Linked DNA regions of Anolis sagrei. The protein of the gene in region 2 purifies or fractionates together with the protein of the main gene of each other region. This does not show direct contact. Links are inferred from orthologs where the notes say so. Each region holds a gene or a part of one and is shown on either strand. Other genes may lie near its edges.

Region 1 (7,909 bases), on a different chromosome or scaffold from region 2:
TGTGTGCCAAGTTTGGTTCATTTCCACCGTTGGTGGGGTTCAGAATGCTCTTTGATTGTAGGTGAACTATAAATCCCAGCAACTACAACTCCCAAATGACAAAATCAATTTTTTGAGTGAAGGACATACATTGGGTTGTTAGGTGTCTTGTGTCCAAATTTGGTGGCAATTCCTCCGGTGGTTTTTGAGTTCTGTGAATACCACAAACGAACATTACATTTTTATTTATATAGATTGTATTGATGTGTTCTGTTATATTGTTTTATATTGTTGCTGGGCTTGGCCTCATGTAAGCTGCCCCAAGTCCCTGTGGGAAGATGGTGGTGGGGTCATAGAAATATAATAATAATAACATAGAATAATATAAATAATAAATATATAATAATAATACATTTATTTATTTATATACCGCTTTTCTCAGCCCTTAGGTGACTCAAAGTGGTTAACAGCAGCAAAATTCAATGCTAAACATTACAAAACAATTAAATTAAAACAATAGCATAACAACAATTAAACATCAATATAACAAATCAATCGCGTCCCATCACTAGAATCAGAATCCAATCTCATTGTCCGTTATTCCACGTTCCTATATTCAATTACACTGCTTAATTGAATGCTTGTTCAAACAACCAGGTCTTCACTTTCCTCCGAAATGCCAATAAGGAGGGGTCCGATCTTATATCTGTAGGAAGGGCGTTCCACAGCCGAGGGGCCACCACTGAGAAGGCCCTCACTCTTATCCCACCAGGCGTGCCTGTGATGCAGGCGGGACTGAGAGCAGGACCTCCCCAGATGATCTTAATGTCCTAGTTGGTTCATAGGAGGAGATGCGTTCGGACAGGTAAAATAATAATAATAATAATAATAATAATAGAATAATAATAGAATCTATATAAATAAAAATGTAGTGCTAGTTTGCGGGACGAACATAACTCAAAAACCACTGGACGAATTGACACCAAATTTGGACACAAGACACCGATCAGGCCAACGAGTGACCATCACTCATAAAAATACTGGAGAACACAGCAGAAGAGACTTAAATAAAGCTTTATTATAAAGCCAAATCCGAGACCACTCCTGCTAGCTCAGATAAGGAGACTGTTGTGCAGCGGGGTGGTCGGTACACTAACAGAATCCCTATCCTGTCCCGGTCACCTATCCTAAAGCCGGCACACTCAAAGGAAGATGACTGTGGGATGGGGCACCTGATCAGGGGGATAAAATCCTTATAGACCACTGCGACTCCACCTCCCCTCCCTCCAGGCCTTGGTTGGTGCTGCACAGAGTCTTAAATAAAGCTTTATTATTATTATTATTATTATTATTATTAATATTTACTCTCTTGACCTTTCACCCGCATCTATAGCAGGCATCCTCAGAGGTTGTGAGGTCTGTTGGAAACTAGGACAAAGTGGGCGACTAAAATGATCAAGGGTCTGGAGAACACACCCTATGAGGAGCGGCTTAAGGGCATGTTTAGCCTGAAGAAGAGAAGGCTGAGAGGAGATATGATAGCCATGTATAAATATGTGAGAGGAAGCCACAGGGAGGAGGGAGCAAGCTTGTTTTCTGCTTCCCTGGAGAGTAGGACGCGAAACAATGGCTTCAAACTACAAGAGAGGAGATTCCATCTGAACATGAGGAAGAACTTCCTGACTGTGAGAGCCGTTCAGCAGTGGAAATACTCAAGGCGCAATTGCAAACTGTGCCAACAAAGAGAAAAAATAGGACAAGTGCAAAGAAGCCAGAATGGATGTCCAAAGAACTTCTAACTGCAACAGCAAAAACAGCAGAGAGGAAACAGGCAGGGACATCTAATTACCTTTCGAGAAGAGTTTGCTCCAGGCATAGTCAGCCCATTGTATGCTAATCAAGGTGGTCAGTTGAAATATTCACACCTAGCCCAACTGACAAAAGTCCTTTGTCTCACCCTGGTTATTCCACAGATATATAAACCCTTTCCCCCAGTTCCAACAGACCTCACCTCTGAGGATGCTTGCCATAGATGCAGGCGAAACGTCAGGAGAAATGCCTCTAGAACATGGCCATATAGCCCGAAGAAACCCACAAGAACTTAACTTCTAACTGTGCTAAAACACAAAAGAGACATGCACAAGAAGTGGAAAAAGGGAGAAATCACCAAAGAAGAATTCAAACAAATAGCCAACACCTGTAGGGAACTCTCTGCCTCGGAGTGTGGTGGAGGCTCCTTCTTTGGAGGCTTTTTAAACAGAGGCTGGATGGCCATCTGTCTGGGGTGATTTGAATGCAATATTCCTGCTTCTTGGCAGAATGGGGTTGGACTGGATGACCCAGGAGGTCTCTTCCAACTCTTTGATTCTATGATATATCTGTGAAACCCCCTTTTCCTAGTTCCCAACAGACCTCACAACCTCTGAGAATGCCTGCCATAGATATGGGTGAAACGTCAGGGGAGAGTGCTTCTGGAACAGGGCCAGACAGCCGAGAAAATTCACAACAACCATGAAAAACTTCAACAACACATTGGATAGAATGTTTCAATAGATCTGTTTGGGGGAAACAATATATCTCTCTAATGGATAGATGTTGCTCCTTTTTTATATTTTGTATCCCACAGAAGAACAAGGGGAACTCTCCGCCAAGTTCCTGGGAAAGTGGAGGAAGTTCCTTCCCCCCCCCCCCCCCCCCACTCTGGATCTCGCGTGGTTTGCATGCAAAGAGAGGTCCAGGAGAGGGACAAAGGGAGGTTGGAAAGGGCGGAAACAGTTCCCAGGGGGGTGGAAAGCAAGCCCCCTTCCAAGCCCCCCCCCTCTCAATCCCTACCTTTTGGGGTCCTTCCAAGGCAGAGAGAGAAGGCTTCGAAGGTCAAGGAGAAGGGAGGGTCCATTTCTGAGTCCAGGGGGGAGGAAGGAAGGGAGGGAAGGGAAGGGAGGAAGAGGCAACTGAAGAGGAGGAAGAGGAGGAGGAGAAAGAGGAAGAGGAGGGGAGGAGGAAGAGGAGGAGGAGGAGCCCGCCTAGACCCCCCCCCTCTGCTTCTTGATTTCCCTTCACGCCCCTTGAAAGGGCGCCAGGAAAGGAGGGAAAGGAAGGAAGAAGAGAAAGAGGAGGAGGAAGAAGAGGGGGGTCCTGCCTTGCCTCCCTCTACTGTTTCCCTTCTCTTTGTCCCTCTTGAGCTCAGCCAGGAAGGAAGTGAAGAAGAGGAGGAGGAGGAAGAAGAAGAAGTGGAGGAGGAGGAGGAAGTGGAGGAGGAGGAGGATCCTGCCTTGCTTCTCTCTGCTTCTTCCCTTCTCTTTGCTTCCCTTGAACTCAGCCAGGGAGAGAAGGAAGAGAAGGAGGAGGAAGAAGAGGGGGATCCTGCCTTGCCTCCCTCTACTGTTTCCCTTCTCTTTGTCCCTCTTGAGCTCAGCCAGGAAGGAAGTGAAGAAGAGGAGGAGGAGGAAGAAGAAGAAGTGGAGGAGGAGGAGGAAGTGGAGGAGGAGGAGGATCCTGCCTTGCTTCTCTCTGCTTCTTCCCTTCTCTTTGCTTCCCTTGAACTCAGCCAGGGAGAGAAGGAAGAGAAGGAGGAGGAAGAAGAGGGGGATCCTGCCTTGCCTCCCTCTACTGTTTCCCTTCTCTTTGTCCCTCTTGAGTTCAGCCAGGAAAGAAGTGAAGAAGAAGAGGAGGAGGAAGAAGTGGAGGAGGAGGTTGCTTCTCTCTGCTTCTTCTCTTCTCTTTGCTTCCCTTGAACTCAGCCAGGAAAGAAGTGAAGAGGAGGAGGAGGAGGAGGAGGAAGTGGAGGAGGAGAATCCTGCCTTGCTTCCCTCTTCTTCTTCTTTTCCCTTTGCTTCCCTTCGCCAGGAAAGAAGAGAAGGAGGAGGAGGATCCTGCCTTGCTTCCTTCTTCCCTTTCCTTTGCTTCCCTAGAGCTCAGCCAGAAAACAGGAAAAGAAGGGAGGAAAAGAAGGAGGAGAAAGAGGAGGAGGAACCCAATTTGCTTCCCTCTGCTTCTTCTTTTCCCTTTGCTTCTCTTCGCCAGGAAAGAAGAGAAGGAGGAAGAGGATCCTGCCTTGCTTCCCTCTGCTTCTTCCCTTCTCTTTGCTTCCCTTGAAGAGAAGGAGGAGGAAGAAGAGGGGGATCCTGCCTTGCCTCCCTCTACTGTTTCCCTTCTCTTTGTTCCTCTCGTGCTCAGCCAGGAAAGAAGTGAAGAAGAAGTGGAGGAGGAGGATCCTGTCTTGCTTCCCCCTGCTTCTTCCCTTCCCTTTCCTTCCCTTGAACTCAGCCAGGAAAGAAGTGAAGAAGAGGAGGAGGAGGAAGAAGTGGAGGAGGAGGATCCTGCCTTGCTTCCCTCTGCTTCTTCTTTTCTCTTTGCTTCCCTTGAGCTCAGCCAGGAAAAGAGGGAGAGAAGGGAGGAAGAGGAGGAGAAGAGGAGGAGGTTCCCGCCTTGCTCCTTCTTCCCTTTCTTTGCTTCTCTTGAACTCAGCCAGAAGAGAGGGAGAGAAGGGAGGAAGAGGAGGAGGAAGAGAAGGATCCTGTCTTGCCTGTCTCTACTGTTTCCCTTCTCTTTGTCCCTCTTGAGTTCAGCCAGGGAAGAAATGAAGAAGAGGAGGAGGAAGAAGAAGTGGGGGTGGAGGAGGAGGAGGAGGAGGAGGAAGTGGTGGAGGAGGATCCTGCTTTGCCTGTCTCTACTTTTTCCCTTCTCTTTGTCTCTCTTGAGTTCAGCCAGGAAAGAAGTGAAGAAGAAGAGGAGGAAGAAGTGGTGGTGGTGGAGGAGGAGGAAGAGGAAGTGGAGGAGGAGGATCCTGCCTTGCTTCCCTCTGCTTCTTCCCTTCTCTTTGCTTCCCTTGAACTCAACCAGGGAGAGAAGGAAGAGAAGGAGGAGGAGTATCCTGCCTTGCTTCTTTCTTCCCTTTCCTTTGCTTCCCTAGAGCTCAGCCAGAAAAGAGGGAAAGAAGGGAGGAAGAAGAGGAGGAGGAAGAAGAAGAAGTGGAGGAGGAGGATCCTGCCTTGCTTCCCTCTGCTTCTTCCCTTCTCTTTGCTTCCCTTGAACACAACCAGGGAGAGAAGGAGGAGGAAGAGGAGGAGGATCCTGCCTTGCTTCCTTCTTCCCTTTTCTTTGCTTCCCTAGAGATCAGCAAGAAAAGAGGGAAAGAAGGGAGGAAGAGAAGGAGGAGGAACCCAACTTGCTTCCCTCTGCTTCTTCTTTTCCCTTTGCTTCCCTTCACCAGGAAAGAAGAGAAGGAGAAGGAGGATCCTGCCTTGCTTCCCTCTGCTTCTTCCCTTCTCTTTGCTTCTCTTAAGCTCAGCCAGGAAAAGAGAGAAAGAAGGGAGGAAAAGGAGGAGGAACCCACCTTGCTTCCCTCTATGCAGATACCCTCACTGATTGACTTTGCAGCTGCAAGGTGATTCAGTGCTCTTCAAACTGAGTAATTACAACATTCACACTTGATTCAAACAGACAAGGGTTCTTTCTTCCACCCTGGACATCATTCCGCAGAGGGTTTCTCTGGGCAACAACATCCAGGCCACCTTTATGCAGATACCCTCACTGATTGACTTTGCAGCTGCAAGGCGATTCAATGCTATTCAAACTGACTAATTACAACATTCACACTTGATTCAAACAGACAAGGGTTCTTTCTCCCACCCTGGACATCATTCAACAGAGGGTTCCTCCGGGCCAGAACAGCCAGCCTACCTCTATGCATATACCCTCACTGGTTGACTTTGCAGCTGCAAGGCGATTGAGTGCTATTCAAACTGACTAATTACAAAATTCACACTTGATTCAAACAGATAAGGGTTTTTTCTCCCACCCTGGACATCATTCCACAGAGAGTTCCTCCAGGCAACAACATCCAGCCCACCTCTATGCAGATACCCTCACTGATTGACTTTTTCGCTGCAAGGCTACTCAATGCTTTTCCAACTGACTAATTACAAAATTCACACTTGATTCAAACAGACAAGGGTTCTTTCTCCCACCCTGGACATCATTCCACAGAGAGTTCCTCTGGGCAACAACAGCTAGCCTACATCTCTGCAGATACCCTCACTGATTGACTTTGCAGCTGCAAGGCGATTGGGTTTTAAAGTTGTGAGTTGCCTTGGATCTCAACCGTGGGGGGAAAAAGTGGGGGCATTGCTATTGTTATGGCATTGAGCCGTTGTCGTTGTTGTTTTGGGTTCACCGAGAGTCTGCTGAAATTGCCGTGGTTATAATCATAATAATTATGAAAAAATATGAAAAATGTGGTGAAAATGCTCTTGTCGCCCTCTCGTGGTGCTTTGTTGCTATTGCAGATGTAGGTGGAAGGCATTGAGGGTCACCCTCAGGTGGCAAGTGACTCCTAGTTAAGAACGGGGATGGAATGGGCAGGAAAGGGTTAAATGAGAGGTAGTGGGTGGGGTTGTGCAAATTGGGAGAGAGAAAGGAACCCTGGGATGTCAATTCTGGAGAGAGAAAGAACAGGACATCTAGGATGAAATGGTCCCTGAATGAAAGTGGTTGTAGGTCTTTCGGGCTATATGGCTATGGTCTAGAGGCATTCTCTCCTGACGTTTCGCCTGCATCTATGGCAAGCATCCTCAGAGGTAGTGAGGTCTGTTGGAAGTAGGAAAATGGGTTTATATATCTGTGGAATGACCGGGGTGGGACAAAGGACTCTTGTCTGCTGGAGCTAGGTGTGAATGTTTCAGCTGACCACCTTCATTAGCATTTGATGGCCTGACAGTGCCTGGGGAAAAAGGGAATGAAAGGGAAGGGAAGGAAAGGAGGAAGGAAGGAAGGAAGGAATTAAAGAAGGGAGGAAGAAAAGAGGGAGGGAAGGAAGGAATGAGAGAAAGAAAGAGGGAAGGAAAGGAGGAAGGAAGGAAGGAAAGGATTCAAAAAGGAAAGGAGGAAAGAAGGAAGGAAGGAGAGAAAGAAAGAAAGAAAAAGGAAAGGAAAGGAGGAATTAAAAAAGGAAGGGAGGGAGGAAAGAAGGAAGGAAGGAAGAAAAGAAAAGAGGGAGGAAAGGAAGGAATGAGAGAATGAAAGAAAGGGAGGGAAGGAAGGAAGGAGAGAAAGAAGGAAGGAAGGAAGAAAAGAGAGAGGGAAGGAAGGAATGAGAGGAAAGAAAGGGAAGGAAGGAAGGAAAGGAAAGGAAGGAATTAAAAAAGGGAGGGAGGAAAGAAGGAAGGAAGGAAGAGAGAGGGAAGGAAGGAATGAGAGGAAAGAAAGGGAAGGAGAGAAAGAAGGAAGGAAGGAAAGGAAGGAAGAAAAGAGAGAGGGAAGGAAGGAATGAGAGAAAGAAAGAAAAGAAAGAAAGAGGGAAGGAAGGAATTAAAAAGGGAGGGAGGAAAGAAGGAAGGAAGGAAGGAATGAAAGAAGAGAAAAGAAGGAAAGAAAAAGGAAGGAAGGAAAGAAAGAAAAAGGAAAGGAAAGGAGGAATTAAAAAAGGAAGGGAGGGAGGAAAGAAGGAAAGAAAGCCTGGCAGTGCCTGGAGCAATCTTCTGTTGAGAGGTGATTAGATGTCCTTGTTTTTTTCCTCTCTGTTGTTGTGCTGTTGCAATTTTAGATTTTTTTAATACTGGTAGCCAGATTTTGTTCCTTTTCATGGTCTCCTCCTTTCTGTTGAAATTGTCCACCTGCTTCTTGTGGATGTCAATGGCTTCTCTGTGTAGTCTGACATGGTGGTTGTGAGAGTGGTCCAGCATTTCTGTGTTCTCCAATAATATGCTGTGTCCTTTTGTAAGAGCTTGAAGACCTGGTGGTTTCAACAAGCCTTTGAAAATGACCAGCTCTTACACATTTATCATTTATTTATATTTATTTATTTATTTAGAGCTTTGATAACCCGGTCTTCTCAACCTCCGAAGAGGGACTCAGGCCGGCTAACAGCAGGAAATTCAAACACAAGTAGGATAAACATAATAGCATCGTAATGCATCATTACATAAAATAC
Region 2 (7,944 bases):
AGTTTGAGGACCCCTGCTCTTGACACTGAAAATGACTGCAGAAGTGAGTTGAGTCCTTAAGTGAACAGGGTTGCCATCCAGCTCATCTGCTTTACACAGCACCCTCTCAGTTAACTGGCAGCTATGGGGATTGGAAGAGGCCAGATAAATGTGGTTTCCAGTTGCTTGAGGGTGACTATGAAAAGCAAGCTTAAGTAATACAATATCACATATTAGACCAGACTAAAAATTCTTTATTTACTTGATATTAAAATTGAAAGCCAGTAACAAACAGCTAATGAAGAAAATGAAGAAAAACTTATCTGAAGGTAACATTATTTTTCTGTATAGCAGTCGTGGACAAACTTCAGCCTCCAGGTGTTTTGGACCTCAACTCCCACAACTGTGCAAGTTGGAAATCCAAAATACCTGGAGGACCAAGGTTTGCCCATGCCTGCTGTATAGGGTGCCCCAAAAGTCTCTAAACATGGAATATATATAAATGTTGAAAGGTGTGATTGGCCCCTTCCTTGTTGGCCTTTAATTTATAAATTAAAACCTTTTTGTGGAACCAAGCCTGTTCTGATGACTTAAAATAGACAACAACCAGATAGCTAGTGGTAATATAAATCTCTGAATGTTATTCAAACTTGGCAATGCTACTATATGGCCTGATGCAAACGGAGTTCCTAAGATTTTAGTACAACTCTTTTTATGGATAACCCCAGTGGCCTGAGGTTCAGTGAATTTTAATGGCATTTGTTGTAAGTTATTAATTAGTTATAAATGGTTTAAAGGTAAAGGTTTTCCCTGACATTACGTCTAGTCGTGTCCGACTCTGGGAGGTGGTGCTCATCTCCATTTCTAAGCCGAAGAGCCAGTGTTGTCCATAGACACCTCCAAGGTCATGTGGCTGGCATGACTGCATGGAGTACTGTTTCCTTCCCACAGAAGCGGTACCTATTGATCTACTCACATTTGTATGTTTTCAAACTGCTATGTTGACAGAAGCTGGGCCTAATAGTGGGAGCTTACCCTGCTCCCTGGATCTGAACAGCTGACCTTTCAGTCAGTTTGTTCAGCAGCTCAGAGATTTAACCGGCTGCACCACCAAGGGGCCCATTTGCATGGTTTATGTAGTGGCAATTTGTTTCTTTGGCTTGAGATTTTTAAAAAAATTGAATGTATTGTCGAAGGCTTTCATGGCTGGAATCACTAGGTTGCTGTGAGTTTTCTGGGCTGTATGGCCATGTTTCAGAAGCATTCTCTCCTGATGTTTTGCCTGGATCTATGGCAGGCATCCTCAGTTTGAATTTGTATGTTATGTAATGACTGCTGCTTATAACAACTGTATGCCACTTTGAATTCTATCCATGGGAGAAAAGTGGGATAACAATTAATAAAGTTGGAATGCATACTTTGTAAATAAAGGTTAATTCAACAATTGCCCATTCCCCCAATCAGTGTTTCTCAACCTGGGGGTCGGGACCCCGGGGGGGGGTCATGAGGGGGGGGTATCAGAGGGGTCACAAAGACCATCAGAAAACACAGGATTTTCTGTTGTTTGTGGGGGTTCTGTATGGGAAGTCTGGCCCAATTCTCTTGTTGGTGGGGTTCAGAGTGCTCTTTGATTGTAGGTGAACTAAAAATCCCAGCAACTACAACTCCCAATTGTCAAGGTCTACTTTTCCCAAACTCCACCAGTGTTCACATTTGGGCATATTGAGTATTTGTGCCAATTTTAGTCCAGATCTATCATTGTTTGAGTCCACAGTGCTCTCTGGATGCAGGTGAACTACAACTCCCAAGTGTCATTGTCTACTTTCCCCAAACTCTACCAGTGTTCACATTTATTTATTTATTTACTATATTTGTATACCGCTCTTCTCAGCCCTCAGGACAACTCAGAGCGGTTAACAAAGCAAATACAATACAAAAAACATGATAAAAACAGTTAAAAACAAGTTAAAAGAATAACATTATAACAATCAATAAACATCATTTGGGCATATTGAGTATTCATGCCAAGTTTGGTCCAGATCTATCACTGTTTGAGTTCACAGTGTTCTCTGGATGCAGGTGAACTACAACTCCAATACCCTTCCAGTACTTTCTGTTGGTTGTGGGAGTTCTGTGTGCCAAGTTTCGTTCAATTCCGTAGGTTAACTATAAATTCTAGCAACCCCCAAATGACAAAACCAACCCCCACCAACCCCACTAGTATTCAAATTTGAGTGTGTCGAATATTTGTGCCAAATTTGAAATGAAAATGAGATGAAAATCCATCCTGCATATCAGACACTCAACATTACGATTCCGAAACAGTCGCAAAATTAAGAGTTATGAAGTAGCAACGAAAATAATTTTATGGTTGGGGGGGAGGGGTCACGACAACATGAGGAACTGTATTAGGAAGGTTGAGAACCGCTGCCCTCAATGAAGTAGGGCGCTTTCAAGGACATTATGATTAAAACTAGCTGAGCGGAGGCGGTAGGAATTCTTTTGGCCGGTTGCTTGAGAGTCGCGCTTAAACGAGAGTCCGGCTCTCTGAGAACGAGAGAGAGAGAGCACGCGCGGGCGCGCGAGGGAGAGGCGGCTTTTGTGCCGAGGTTCTTCCCAGGCACCTGCAAGGCTCCCCGCCCCCTCCCGCGCGCCCCTTTCTTCCTCCTCCTCCTCCTCCTCCTCACCTGTCCCTGGGGTCGACCCAGCTGGTGCTCTTGGTGGCGTGGTCGATGTAGTAGACTTTGCCGTCGTAGTCGCGCGCTTCCTCCCAGCCCTCGGGCAAGGGCAGCCCCGGCCGCGGCATCCTAGGCGGAGGCGGCGGGGCGCAGCTCCCTCCCAGCCCCGAGGCGGCCGTGGCCCCATGCAAAGCCCCCTCAGCAGGCCCAGGAGGAGCAGGAGCAGGGGGAGGAGCAGCAACCACCCTTCTCCCAGCCCGGCAGCAGAAGCGGGGGGCGAGGGGCCGCGTCGGGAAGGCGGGAGTGGGCGCCTCGCATCCTCGGCAAGCAGGAGGAGGAGGGGGAGGGGCCAGGCTCCGGCGGGAACCCCGCAGGTGTCTCTCTCTCTCCACGAGCCCCTTCCTGCCAGTCCTCAGGCTGCGCTTCCCGCCGGCCTGCTCGCCCCTTCCTCCTCAGTCTGCCAAATGCCGCTGCTCCTCCAACTCCTCGGCTCCTTCCTCCTCCTCCTCCTCCTCCCCGCCTCCTCTGCCGGCGCTACTGTAATACAGGTAGTAGCAGAGCCGCCTCGGCGCAACTTTGTTTCCCAAAAAAGAAAAAAAAAGAAAGAAAGAAAACCTTCCAAAGTATGTGAGGGAGGCTGCTATTCCCGTCAAGACGGCCGCGGCGGTGCTGAGAGAGAAAGAGAGAGGGAGGGAGGGAGGCAAGCAAGCAAGCAAGCGCCGCCTCGCGCCAAAGCCCCAGAAGGAAGGAATGAGCAGCCTCGCGCCCGGGCCTCGCGGGCAGAGCAACCTGGAGGGAGGGAGAGGGGAGGGGAGGGGAGGAGGGAGAGGAAGAAGGAAAGGAGGCGGGCTTGGCCACCTCTGCTTGAGGAAGGTCCAGCCCCAGAAAGGAAAGGGAAGGTCCCCCCAGCAGGTGCAGCTCCCCCCTGGTCCGACCTGGTGTGGAGTTGGAGCAGGCATGGGGCCCACCCTCCAGGTGTTTGGGACTCCAACTCCCACCATTCCTAACAGCCTCAGGCCCCTTGGAAAAGAAAAGGGCCTTAGGCTGTTAGGAATGGTGGGAGTTGGAGTCCCAAACACCTGGAGGGTGGGCCCAACTTCGCCCATGCCTGAGTTGGAGGGCTGTTTCCTTGTGAACAACCTTACTGTTGCTTCTGCGTTCTGTGAAGTGATGGCATGTTAGTTATGTTGCATTGGGAGTTGCAGTTCGACAAGGTCTTGACCCATTTCTCCCCAAAAGAGCTAGAGCCTCCATGGTGTAGATCAGGGGGTCCTCAAACTTTTTAAACAGAGGGCCAGGTCACAGTCCCTCAAACTGTTGGGAGGGCCGGATTATAATTTGAAAAAAAAAACTTGCATGAATTCCTATGCACACTGCACATATCTTATTTGCAGTGCAAAAAATATCTTAAAACAATACAATAATTAAAATGAAAAACAATTTAAACAAATACAAACTTATTAGTATTTCAATAGAAAGCGTGGGTCTGCTTTTGGCTGATGAGATAGGATTGTTGTTGTTGTTGTGTGCTTTCAAGTCGTTGCAGACTTAGGTTGACCCTGAGCAAGGGCCGGATAAGTGACCTTGGAGGGCCTTATCCGAACCCCGGGCCTTAGTTTGAGGACCCCTGGTGTAGGTTGATCCTCTGGGTGTTTTGGATTTCAACTCACAATTCTGTTAGCAATTGTGGAAGGGTTTTTTTAATCATTACTTTACACCAACAATAGGTAAAGGTTTTTACCTGACATTAATTCCAGTCGTGTCCAACTCTGGGGGTTGGTGGTCATCACCATTTCTAAGTCAAAGAGCCAGTGTTCTCCGTAGACACCTCCAAGGTCATGTGGCCGGCATGACTGAATGGAGCGCCGTTACCTTCCCACTGAAGTGGTACCTATTGATCTCACATTTGCATGTTTTTGAACTGCTAGGTTGGCAGAAGCTGGGGCTAACAGCGGGAGCTCATGCTGCTCCCCAGATTCTAGCCTGCAACCTTTCAGTCATCAAATTTAGCAGCTCAGCGATTTAACCCACTGCACCACTGGGGCCTCCAATAACACCTACAATACACTCATACAAAAGAGCCCCCAGTGGCACACTGGGTTAAACACTTGTGCCAGAAGGACTGAAAACTGACAGATCGGAGGTTCAAATCCAGGGAGAGTGCAGATGAGCTCCTTCTGTCAGCTACAGCTCCCCATGCAGGGACATGAGAGAAGCCTCCCACAAGGATGGTAAAACATCAAAATATCCGGGTGTCCCCTTGGCAACGTCCTTGCAGACATCCAATTATTTTACACCAAAAGTGACTTGCAGTTTCTCAAGTCACTCCTGATTTTAAAAAAACCCTATACAAACATATACATATATAGACAACCCACCACCCACATTAGTTACCTATCATTCCTCCTCCAGTTCGCTCACCACCCCGACTTCCATTACTAATCACGCTTGTCAAATATGCTATGGCCAGCTTCCAATTTCTTCTTAAAACTTCATGACTTTGGTGTTTCAAATTGCTAGATATCTTCACCATTCACCTTTCCAGTCTTTGGCAATCGTTATGCATGCAGCCTCAAAGCTGAACTCGCAAAATTCTCTTTCCTGCTGCTCTAGACTGAATAACCCTAAAAGGCACATCCCTGGATTTTTAAAAACTTTGTTGTGAATCATTTTTTTGTTTTTGTTTCCGTAATCATTTTTTTCCAATAAACCTGCACCAATTTGTAATTTGCACATGTGGAATTCGCACATGTGGAAGAAGGTCCCTTTCTGTATTTTTCGCCTCCAACAGAATCCTGTGGGAGTTGAAGTCCAAAACACCTGGAGAGCAAAAGTGTAGGTGCACCCTTGGCATCAGGTTATTATTATTTCATATCAAAAACATTGCATAAATTAGTATAAAACTGATAAAAAAAAATAGAAGGTGTGCAGGTGGCTAAATATCTTTTGACCAAAAACGGGCAATAGCAACGACATTGTCTGTAGCCTCCAACAATTCCTCCTTGTCTGTTCTGCTCCACAGTCACACAAGGTATGGGATTCTTTTGGCAGCAGGTGAAGAAATACATTAATTATTGACCTGGGGAGGAGGGGAAAACAAGCCCAAGGAATAACACTTTTAGCTGCCATGGCTCAATGCTATGGAAATCTTGGAAGTTGTAGTTTTACAAGGTCTTTGGCCTTCTCTGCCAAAGAGTGCTGGTGCCTCATCAAATTGCCAATCTCAGGATTCCACAGCATGGAGCCGTGACTCTTAAAGTAGTGTCAAACTGCATGGATTCCAGGTGCATCTTTAGGTTTATCTGGCCAAAAGTGCTGAAGCCTTACCAAACTGCAGCTCCCAGAATTCCATTGTTTTGAGTTAAAGCGGTGTCAAGCTGCATTCATTTTGTGGTGTAGATGCACCCAAACATGTCACCTCCGCAACATCCCAGCCACCTTGGCCATCAGTTTGGAATTCAGAGTTTGGGAAATACTTCGATCTTCACCTCTACTTTTCTGTGCTCTTTTCCTATCTCCCTTCACAGATCTTGGAGTTGAACAGGATATTTTGGGACTACTACATCCCCAGTGGTGCAGCAAGTTAAACCACTGAGCTGCTGAACTTGCTGACTGAAAGGTCAGTGGTTCGAATCCAGGGAGCGGGATGAGCTCTTGCTGTTAGCCCCAGCTTTGAACCTAGTAATTAGAAAACATGCAAATGTGAGTAGATCAATAAGTACCACTCTGGTAGGAAGTTAACAGCTCTTTGTGCAGTCATGCTGGCCACATGACCTTGGAGGCATCTACAAACAACACTGGCTCTTCGGTTTAGAAATGGAGATGAGCACCAACCCCCAGAGTTGGACACGATTAGACTTAATGTCAAGGGGAAATCTTTACCTTTACCACACCTACAATGTCTTACACTCTCCCCAACCCGCACAGTGGTGTCATTAAGTCATGTTTTCTGCCACCTGCATGGACCACTTCTCATATTAGACCATACTAGAGTGTTGCATACAAAATACGTGCAACACTGTCTAAAAAAAATGTCAAAACCAGTGACTATAAAAAGCCAGCCACAACACAACGCAAACCTTGTGCATGCTTTCAGCCTATGCCGATGAAACCGTGCAATACGAAGCATCATAATACCAGTAATTGGGTAATAACGACAGCTCTGACCAAAGCACAAGTCCATTGTTGTTGTTCATTCGTTCAGTCGTCTCCGACTCTTCGTGACCTCATGGACCAGCCCACGCCAGAGCTCCCTGTCGGCCGTTACCACCCTCAGCTCTCTCAAGGTCAGTCCAGTCACTTCAAGGATGCCATCCATCCATCTTGCCCTTGGTCGGCCCCTCTTCCTTTTGCCTTCCACTTTCCCCAGCATAATTGTCTTCTCTAGGCTTTCCTGTCTCCTCATGATGTGGCCAAAGTACTTCAACTTTGTCTCTAGTATCTTTCCCTCCAGTGAGCAGTCGGGCTTTATTTCCTGGAGGATGGACTGGTTGGATCTTCTCGCAGTCCAAGGCACTCTCAGAACTTTCCTCCAGCACCACAGTTCAAAAGCATCGATCTTCCTTCGCTCAGCCTTCCCTAAGGTCCAGCTCTCACATCCGTAGGTGACTACAGGGAATACCATGGCTTTGACTAGGCGGATCTTTGTTGCCAGTCTGATGTCTCTACTCTTTACTATTTTATCGAGATTGGACATTGCTCTCCTCCCAAGAAGTAAGCGTCTTCTGATTTCCTGGCCACAGTCTGCATCTGCAGTAATCTTTGCACCTAGAAATACAAAGTCTGTCACGGCCTCCACGGTTTCTCCCTCTATTTCCCAGTTGTCAATCATTCTTGTTGCCATAATCTTGGTTTTTTTGACGTTTAGCTGCAACCCGGCTTTTGCGCTTTCTTCTTTCACCTTGATTAGAAGGTTCCTCAGCTCCTCCTCACTTTCGGCCATCAGAGTGGTGTCATCTGCATATCTGAGGTTGTTAATGTTTCTTCCAGCAATTTTCACCCCAGCTTTGCATTCATCCAGCCCCGCACATCGCATGATGTGTTCTGCATACAAGTTAAAAAGGTTGGGTGAGAGGATGCAGCCTTGCCGTACGCCTTTCCCAATCTTGAACCAGTCTGTTGTTCCGTGGTCAGTTCTGACTGTTGCTACTTGGTCCTTGTACAGATTCCTCAGGAGAGAGACAAGGTGGCTTGGGATGCCCATCCCACTAAGAACTTGCCACAATTTATTATGATCCACACAGTCAAAGGCTTTAGAATAGTCAATGAAGCAGAAGTAGATGTTTTT
Region 3 (7,792 bases), on a different chromosome or scaffold from region 2:
CACACAAAGTTTAGTAAAGTTTTTCAAGGCACCCCATGCCATTGCAACAGGACAAGTTGAAAAAGGGAAAGTCATGTGAGGCTAATGCTTTCAAAGGGTCACTTATTTTCAGAACTCCTTTTGCATGCTCAACCTTTCCATTTAACTGAGCAGATCTGAAATACAATTTTCAGGCAGTGAGGGATGGGCATAAGTCTCCAAAACCGCCCATTAACTGTTCCTGCATTATACGTTTTGTATTTTTTTCAAAAATGCAAAAGCAAGTTAGTCCAAAAACACAAACCTCAGAACAGAGCTGTGCCAAGATAATTGACCAAAGAGCCTTACTTACACCAACGCCTGAGTCAGAAACTTCCAAACTGGACATAAACTGTTCCTGTGCTTTTCAAATTGCAAAAACAAAAATCCCAAAACACACACACACCTCCGGGGGTGTTGTGCCAAGTTTACTGACCAGAGAACCTTGTTTACACAAAGAGACTCAAAAACTGCCCAACTGCACACGAACTATGTGTTGTCGAAGGCTTTCATAGCCAGGAATCACTGGTTGCTGTGAGTTTTCTGGGCTGTATGGCCATGTACCAGAAGAATTCTCTCCTGACGTTTCACCCACATCTATGGCAGGCATCCTCAGAGATTGTGAGGTCTGTTGGAATTAGAACGAGTGAGGTTTATATATCTGTGGAATGCCCAGGGTGGGAGAAAGAACTCTTGTCTGTTGGAGGTAGGTGTGAATGCTGCAATCGATCACCTTGATTAGCATTGAAAAGCCTTGCAGCTTCAAGGCTTGGCTGCTTCCTGTCTGGGGGATTCCTTTGTTGGGATGATGAGTATGGTCTACATACTTGCATTATGTTTTTATTAGGCGTTTTAAGTATTATATTTCATGTTTTAAATGTCCTTATATCTTATGATGAATTGTCTTATTGATTTTATGCTCAGTTATATGGTGTTGATTGTGATTTAGGGTAAGGCATTGAATTTTGTCACTATTTCTATGGAAACCACTTTGTGTCCCCCCAGGGGTAAAAAAAGTGGTATATAAATACTGTAAATAAATAAATAGCTGGCCCTGTTCCTGTATTTTTTAAAAATGCAAATCAAAATAACCCCAAAACCACACACCTCACAGAGAAGTTCTGCCAAGATTACTGAAGAACTCATCAAACTAGAGAATGAATTCAATTTAAATCCGGTTGCTGCCTCCTGCAGAATTCTGGGGATTATAGTTTAGGGGGGAACCTTCAACTAAACTGCAAACCCCAGAATTCTGCTGAAGGCAGAAACCAGATTTAAAGTGGATTCATGCTCTAGTCTTGGCTTATATCAACTTCAAACCCAGAAACTCCCAAACTGTACCTAAACTAATAATAATAATAATAACAACAACAACAACTTTATTTTTATATCCCACCTCCATCTCCCCAAGGGACTTGGGGCAGCTTATAAAGGGACAAGCCCAGGGAGTACAAAGTTAAAAACATAACACAATAAGATAGCATCAAAACAAAATCAAATAAAACATATCACAATAAAACATATCATAAAACAATACCATACAGAACAGAACGATAACAGTACTGAGTTCAGAGGGCTCTGGGTTTGTGTGCATTCTTCCTGTATTATAGGTTTTGCATTTTTTTTTAAATCAAAAGCAAAACAATAACAACCTCAAAACACTCACACTGCAGAGCGAAGTTGTACGAAGTTTACTGACCAGAGAGGAGCCTTACTAATGCTTACACCAACTCCAAACTCAAAAAGTCCAAGCCAACTCACTCAAGCATCCCAACTGTTGCATCTCAGGCTTACCTGCTTTCACATGAGTTTGGGACCCCTTCGAGGCAGCTGCGTCTCCTCAAGGTATAGTTCTCAAAGATCTCCTCCTTTCCTTCCTCTAGGCCTTGATTTCTTTTTTTTAAATCCGCAAGATTCACCGGTGATGGATGAAGGAGGCTTCCGCTTTAGCCAAGGAATCCAAACAAGGGGACAGGGCAAGTTGGAGCCGACAGAATTTGCCAAAATTAGGAAGGAAAGGGGAGAAAGAGGAAGGGGAGAAAAGGAGGATGGTGGGGAATGAAGAGGACTGAGTGATATTGGGGTGCTAAGGAGTCAGCAGCAAAAAAGGGGGGCTCTTCTTTCTTTCTTTTCCCCCTCCCGAAGAAGCAACACGCAAGGCTCTCCAAAGGAAAGTTTGTAGGAAGTTTGAGCTTCAGGAAGGGAGGGTGCTGGAGGAGGGAAGAAGTTCGGGAGCCTGGAGGGAGGAGAGAGCCAAGCAGAGAGGAGGGGATTGGTGCCTAGATGGAGAAAGGCAGGCGTCCAGAGCGTGTGGGTCCTCCCTCCCTCCCTCCCTCCCTCCCTCCCGCGTGGCTCTTCCTCGGCCCCGGTCCTGCGTGGAGCTGCTGCTTGGAGAAGCAAGAGCCCTCCCGCCTGCCTCCTTGCCGTCGCCGACCTCGGAGTCACAGCCCAGGAATGCCAAGAATGCGGAGCAGCCACTGCAGGGCAGGAGGCGGCGGGGACTTGCCTGGAGGGAGCACTTCTCTCTTGCTTGCTTGCTTGCTTTCTCTCTCCGTATTTTTACGCACAGGCGACTCAAAGAAGGGGCGCTCCAAAAGGAGCCCAAATCCAGGATGCCTTTCGGAGTTTGACTCTGTTCCAAGGCGGGCCAAGCCTCCCCCAAATGCCAAGGGGAAGAAGGGGAGGAGGAGGGAAGGAACTCGGGACCAACTAGGAATCCAAATGCCCGAGAGCTCCTTTCCCTCTTTCTTTCTTTCTGTACTTGCTGGAGCGCAACTCTAGTGGCGAGCCTGACGCACAGCTTGGAGAGAAGTTGGAAGAAGACGAGGAGGCGCGCCGGAGTGACTCCGTTTTACACGGAGAGGAGGGACTAGCGAGGCAGTTCTCAGTAGGGAAGGGAGGACCAAGCCGGGGAAAGGGTTGGGGGGCAAGGAATAGAGGCTTTGGGGAGGTTCCCCTTGACTGCGCGCAGAGGAGAGGGAGAGCCCGGAGGTATCAGGGAAGGAGGAGCTACTTCTGGGTTGGTTTGTGTTTTTGGGGATTTCAGTTGGAGAGGAAGATGGAGGAAGGCGCCCCATAGGAAGGGGGTTTCCCGCCCTCCGTGAAGGGCGGGGAAACCCATTTGGAGGAAGGGGCGGAGAGCCAGCCGGGGGAAATCTTTCCGACCAGCCTTTTGCGCAAAGGCCTGGAGTGGCTGGCTGGCTTGCTTGCACGATTTCTTTGCCCCAGCTCTCCTCTTTCACCAACTTTCTCTTCTCCTTTCTCCAACTTTAGCCCCTTTGGTTCTCAACCTTCTTAATGCCGCGACCCCTTAATACAGTTCCTCATGTTGTGAACCCCAACCATAAAATTATTTTCCTTGCTACTTCATAACTGTCATTTTGCTACTGTTTGGAATCGTAATGTAAATATCTGATATGCAGAATGCATTTTCATTCACTGGACCAAATTTTGCACAAATACCCAATACACCCAAATTTGAATTCTGGTAGGGTTTGGGCGGGGGGGGGGGGTTGATTTTGTCTTTTGGGAGTTGTAGTTGCTGGGATTTATAGTTCACCTACAATCAAAGAGCATTCTGAACTCCATCAAAGGTGGAATTGAACCAAATTTGGCACACACAACTCCCATGCCCAACAGAGGATACTGGACATTGACCTTGAGTTTGGGAGTTGTAGTTCACCTACATCCAGAGCACACTGTGGACTCAAATAATGATGGATCTGAACCAAACTTGGCACTAATATTCAATATGCCCAAATGTGAACACTGGTGGAGTTTGACTGAAATCAACTTGATATTTTGGAGTTGTAGTTGCTGGGATTTATAGTATATCTACAACCAAAGAGCATTCTGAATCCCACCAAGGAGAGTTTGGCCCAATTCTCTCCACCAAGGAGAGAATTGGGCCAAACTTCCCACACGAAACCCCTATGACCAACAGAAAATATTATGTTTTCTGATGGTCTTTGGCAACACCTCTGACGCCCCCTCACAACCCCCCCAGGGGTCCCAACCCCCAGGTTGAGAAACACTGGGTTAGAGAGATTTATCAAGTTTTGTTGCCCTGCCTTACTTACGTAGAAGTAAAACCGAGTTTTAAAAGTTGTTTCTCCCACCCTAGACATTCCACAGATATATAAACCTCACTTGCTTAGTTTCCAACAGTCCTCGCAATGTATGAAGATGCCTGCCATAGATGTGGGTGAAACGTAAGGAGAGAATGTTTCTGGAACATGGCTATACAGGCCAAAAAACTCAAAGCAACCCAGTGATTCCAGCCATGAAAGTCTTTGACAACACATTTCATTGTAGCAATTGAGCTTGAATACATTTAGGACCATCCAGATCAGAGTGGCATTTCTGAAACTCAGCTTTCATCATAAGTTTTCATGGACTTCCATTTATTTTATTAGATGTTGAGCAAGGATGTAGAGGTTCAAGTGCAAACATTACCTTCCATATAATAATTCTCCCTCCCTTATGAAATACTCCTCCAGTCTCATAAATTCTAGCAATGTAGTAATTTCAAAATTAAGCATATAGAAATAGTTTAGGCATCCAAAATAAGATATTATGGGCCTTCTGTATCCATGGATTCAACAATTTACAGCTTGAAAACTTTTCATTCCCAGAATTCCAGAAAGCAAACCTTTATTTTAGCATGTTATAGAAGGCTTTCATGGCTGGAATCACTGGGTTGCTGAGAGTTTTTTGGACTGTATGGCCATGTTTCGACACTCAGAATACAGGGGAATTCCAGACAGGAAACAATCAGCATCAGCTAACACTTCCCAACAAAGCATTCCCCCAGGCAGGAAGCAGCAAGGCTTTGAAGCTGCAAGCCTATTCAATGCTAATCAAGGTGGCCAATTGCAACATTCACAATTACTGGGTTGTTGTAGGTTTTTTTCGGGCTATATGGCCATGTTCTAGAGGCATTCTCTTTTGACATTTCACATGCATCTATGGCAAGCATCCTCAGAGGTAGTGAGGATCACCTCACTACCTCTGAAGATGCTTGCCATAGATGCAGGTGAAACATCAGGAGAGAATGCCTCCAGAACATGGCCATATAGCCCAAAAAAACCTACAACAACCCAGTGATTCTGGCCATGAAAGCCTTCAACAATACATATTCACAATTGCCTTAAACAGACAAGAGTTCTTTCTCCTACCATGGACATTCCATGGATATATAAACCCCATTTGCCTAGTTTCCACAGACCTCACAATCTCTGAGGATGCCTGTCGTAGATGTGAGTGAAACATCAGGAGAGAATACATCTGGAACATGGTCATACAACCCACTTTATTTGAGCATTTTATATAAGGGGTACAATTTTACTATGCCATTACATATAATGGGACTAGGAGCATCCTTGGATTTTAAACCCGAACATATACAAGGACCATATAGGCAAAGTTGTCAAGGGAATGCAGACAGCAAATTCTAGAGTCCTAGTTGTGAGTGCATTTTAGTGTCATTTTCTGCAATGCTAGAAATGCACACAATGAAGGAAAATCATAAAGGGCAGAACTCCTATTTTGCCTTCATCTCCTGGTAACTATACACCTGTATATGGGCCCAGCAGATGCAGATGATTAGCAATCTGGAATTCATGAAAGTTTATGATGGAATATCACTCTCCAAAGTGTTGCTAGATCATTTCCTCATATTAGTCTTATGTTACAACACACTAACAAGAGTCTTCCCTTGAAAACTCTCCTCTAGTGTCCCTGGTCTATGAAGTATAGTCCTTACCTCCTTTGCAGTGAGTCCTCCAGACTCCCCAAACCACCCTTTTTCTCTCTGCTCCATTATGTGTCCCAGGAGAAGCAACAACATTTTAAAATGTTACAGGCACACACATCCCATTTTGTTTAATGTCAGTAAATAATAAATGGATACACATTTTCTTTTTTAGTAGTTTTGCAGGGGTCTAGAGACAAAAACACAAATTCCAGCCATATAGTTGACCATCCTTGTCAAAGACCCTTACATTTTTAATAGTTGGTTGTTTAAATAAGGCATGCTCTCCCCTATATCACTATCAATTTCTCCCAAATCCCTCCAATATTTTCTGTTGGTCATGGGGATTCTGTGTGGGAAGTTTGACCCAATTGTATTGTTGGTGGAGTTCAGAATGCTCTTTGATTGTAGGTGAACTATAAATCTCAGCAACTACAGCTTCCAAATGTCAAGGTCTATTTTCCCCAAACTTCATATTTGAGCATATTGAGTATTTGTGCCAAGCTTAGTCCAGATCCATCATTGTTTGTGTCCACAGTGCTCTTTGGATGTAGCTGAACTACAACTCTGAAACCCAAGATCAAGCCCACCAAACCCTTCCAGTATTTTCTGTTGGTCATGGGAGTTCTGTATGCCAAGTTTGGTTCATTTCCATCATTGGTGGAGTTCAGAATGCTCTTTGATTGTAGGTGAACTATAAATCCCAGCAATTACAACTCCCTAATGACAAAATCAATCCCCCCAACCCCACCAGTATTCAAATGTGGGCGTATGGGGTATTTGTGCCAAATTTGGTCCAGTGAATGAAAGTACATCCTGCATAACACATATTTACATTACGATTCATATGAATAGTAAAGTTGCAATTATGAAGTAGCAACCAAAATAATTTTATGGTTGGGGTTCACCACAACATGAAGAACTATATTAAGGGGTACGGCATTAGGAAGGTTGAGAAACACTGTTCTAATGCAAGGAGCCAACTCATTTCCAACACTCTGAACAACAGTATTTTGTTGCTAGGAAAATGTTTTTCCCCCTCTACTGTGCCAGCACTGCACAGGAAATCTTCCTGAAAAGAGAGAAAGATGGAAAAATTGATTTCACAAAATCAGTAGAGCCCTGCAACAAAGTCATTCCCTGGCCCTAGTCTGTATCCTAGTCTGTGGAAATTGGATAATGCAGGATGACGGTAGTGTGGAACAATCACTGCATGTTTGCCAACATTTTCATAGATTAAAACAGGGATAGGCTCTCAGCACACATCTCTGATAGTGAGTTGCCCACACATACTCATTGTTGAAGGTTCTGTTTTGCCAGTTGTGCGCTATATTTATTTGTTTTACAGGAACCTGTACTCTGCTCACTTAAAAGCCAAACACAATGGTATTTGTTGTGAAAGATAAACTTGGAAAATGCTATTGTAACATAGGATGCCACGTGTTCAAAATATATTTGACACTTTAGCATCCCCACACTTGCATTTACATGTGTATGCACAGCAGGACTAAATTTACGACTCAAGAGATATGCAGTGCAGTGCTGTAAGATCTACTTAGAAGTCAGTCTATTGAGGTTAATGGAATTTTCAGGGTAAATGGTAGTTAGAACTGTAGCCATAACTTACAAAAATTCTTTGGAAATGTGAATTATAAGAATCACTGAGTTGTTGTAGGTTTTTCAGGCTGTGTGGCCATGTTCTAGAAGCATTCCATCCTGACGTTTCACCTGCATCTGTGGCAGGCATCCTCAGAAGTTGTGAGGTCCTCACAACATCTGAGGATGCCTGTCACAGATGCAGGCGAAACATCAGGAGAGAATGCCTCTAAAATATGGCCATACAGACAAAAAACCCTACAGCAACCCAGTGATTCAGGCCATGAAAGCCTTCGACGATAAGAATAAAGTTGAAGATTACAACTTTAAGGTAGGCATAATTACGCAGAAGCAAATCCTATTAAAGCATTACAGTACTGAATGTAAGATGATAGAATTACAAATTGTAGGGCTTTCCTTTCAAGC

What was found.
Region 1: the proteins of WWC1 (region 2) and AMOT purify together in Homo sapiens (affinity purification with mass spectrometry; 3 studies listed by BioGRID and IntAct, with this or other methods). This does not show direct contact. The link is inferred for Anolis sagrei from reciprocal best matches to the Homo sapiens genes WWC1 and AMOT.
Region 3: the proteins of WWC1 (region 2) and PTPN14 purify together in Homo sapiens (affinity purification with mass spectrometry; 7 studies listed by BioGRID and IntAct, counting the BioPlex papers as one, with this or other methods). This does not show direct contact. The link is inferred for Anolis sagrei from reciprocal best matches to the Homo sapiens genes WWC1 and PTPN14.

The regions. Positions count from the first base shown.
Region 1 is NC_090030.1:33,526,157-33,534,065, forward strand, and holds the start of AMOT (angiomotin), read right to left. Parts: upstream 3,047-7,909; 5' UTR 2,812-3,046; intron 1-2,811.
Region 2 is NC_090022.1:105,773,568-105,781,511, forward strand, and holds the start of WWC1 (protein KIBRA), read right to left. Parts: upstream 3,031-7,944; 5' UTR 2,786-3,030; coding exon 2,667-2,785; intron 1-2,666. UniProt on the Homo sapiens protein: Regulator of the Hippo signaling pathway, also known as the Salvador-Warts-Hippo (SWH) pathway.
Region 3 is NC_090021.1:33,747,841-33,755,632, forward strand, and holds the start of PTPN14 (tyrosine-protein phosphatase non-receptor type 14), read right to left. Parts: upstream 3,063-7,792; 5' UTR 1,813-3,062; intron 1-1,812. UniProt on the Homo sapiens protein: Protein tyrosine phosphatase which may play a role in the regulation of lymphangiogenesis, cell-cell adhesion, cell-matrix adhesion, cell migration, cell growth and also regulates TGF-beta gene expression, thereby modulating epithelial-mesenchymal transition.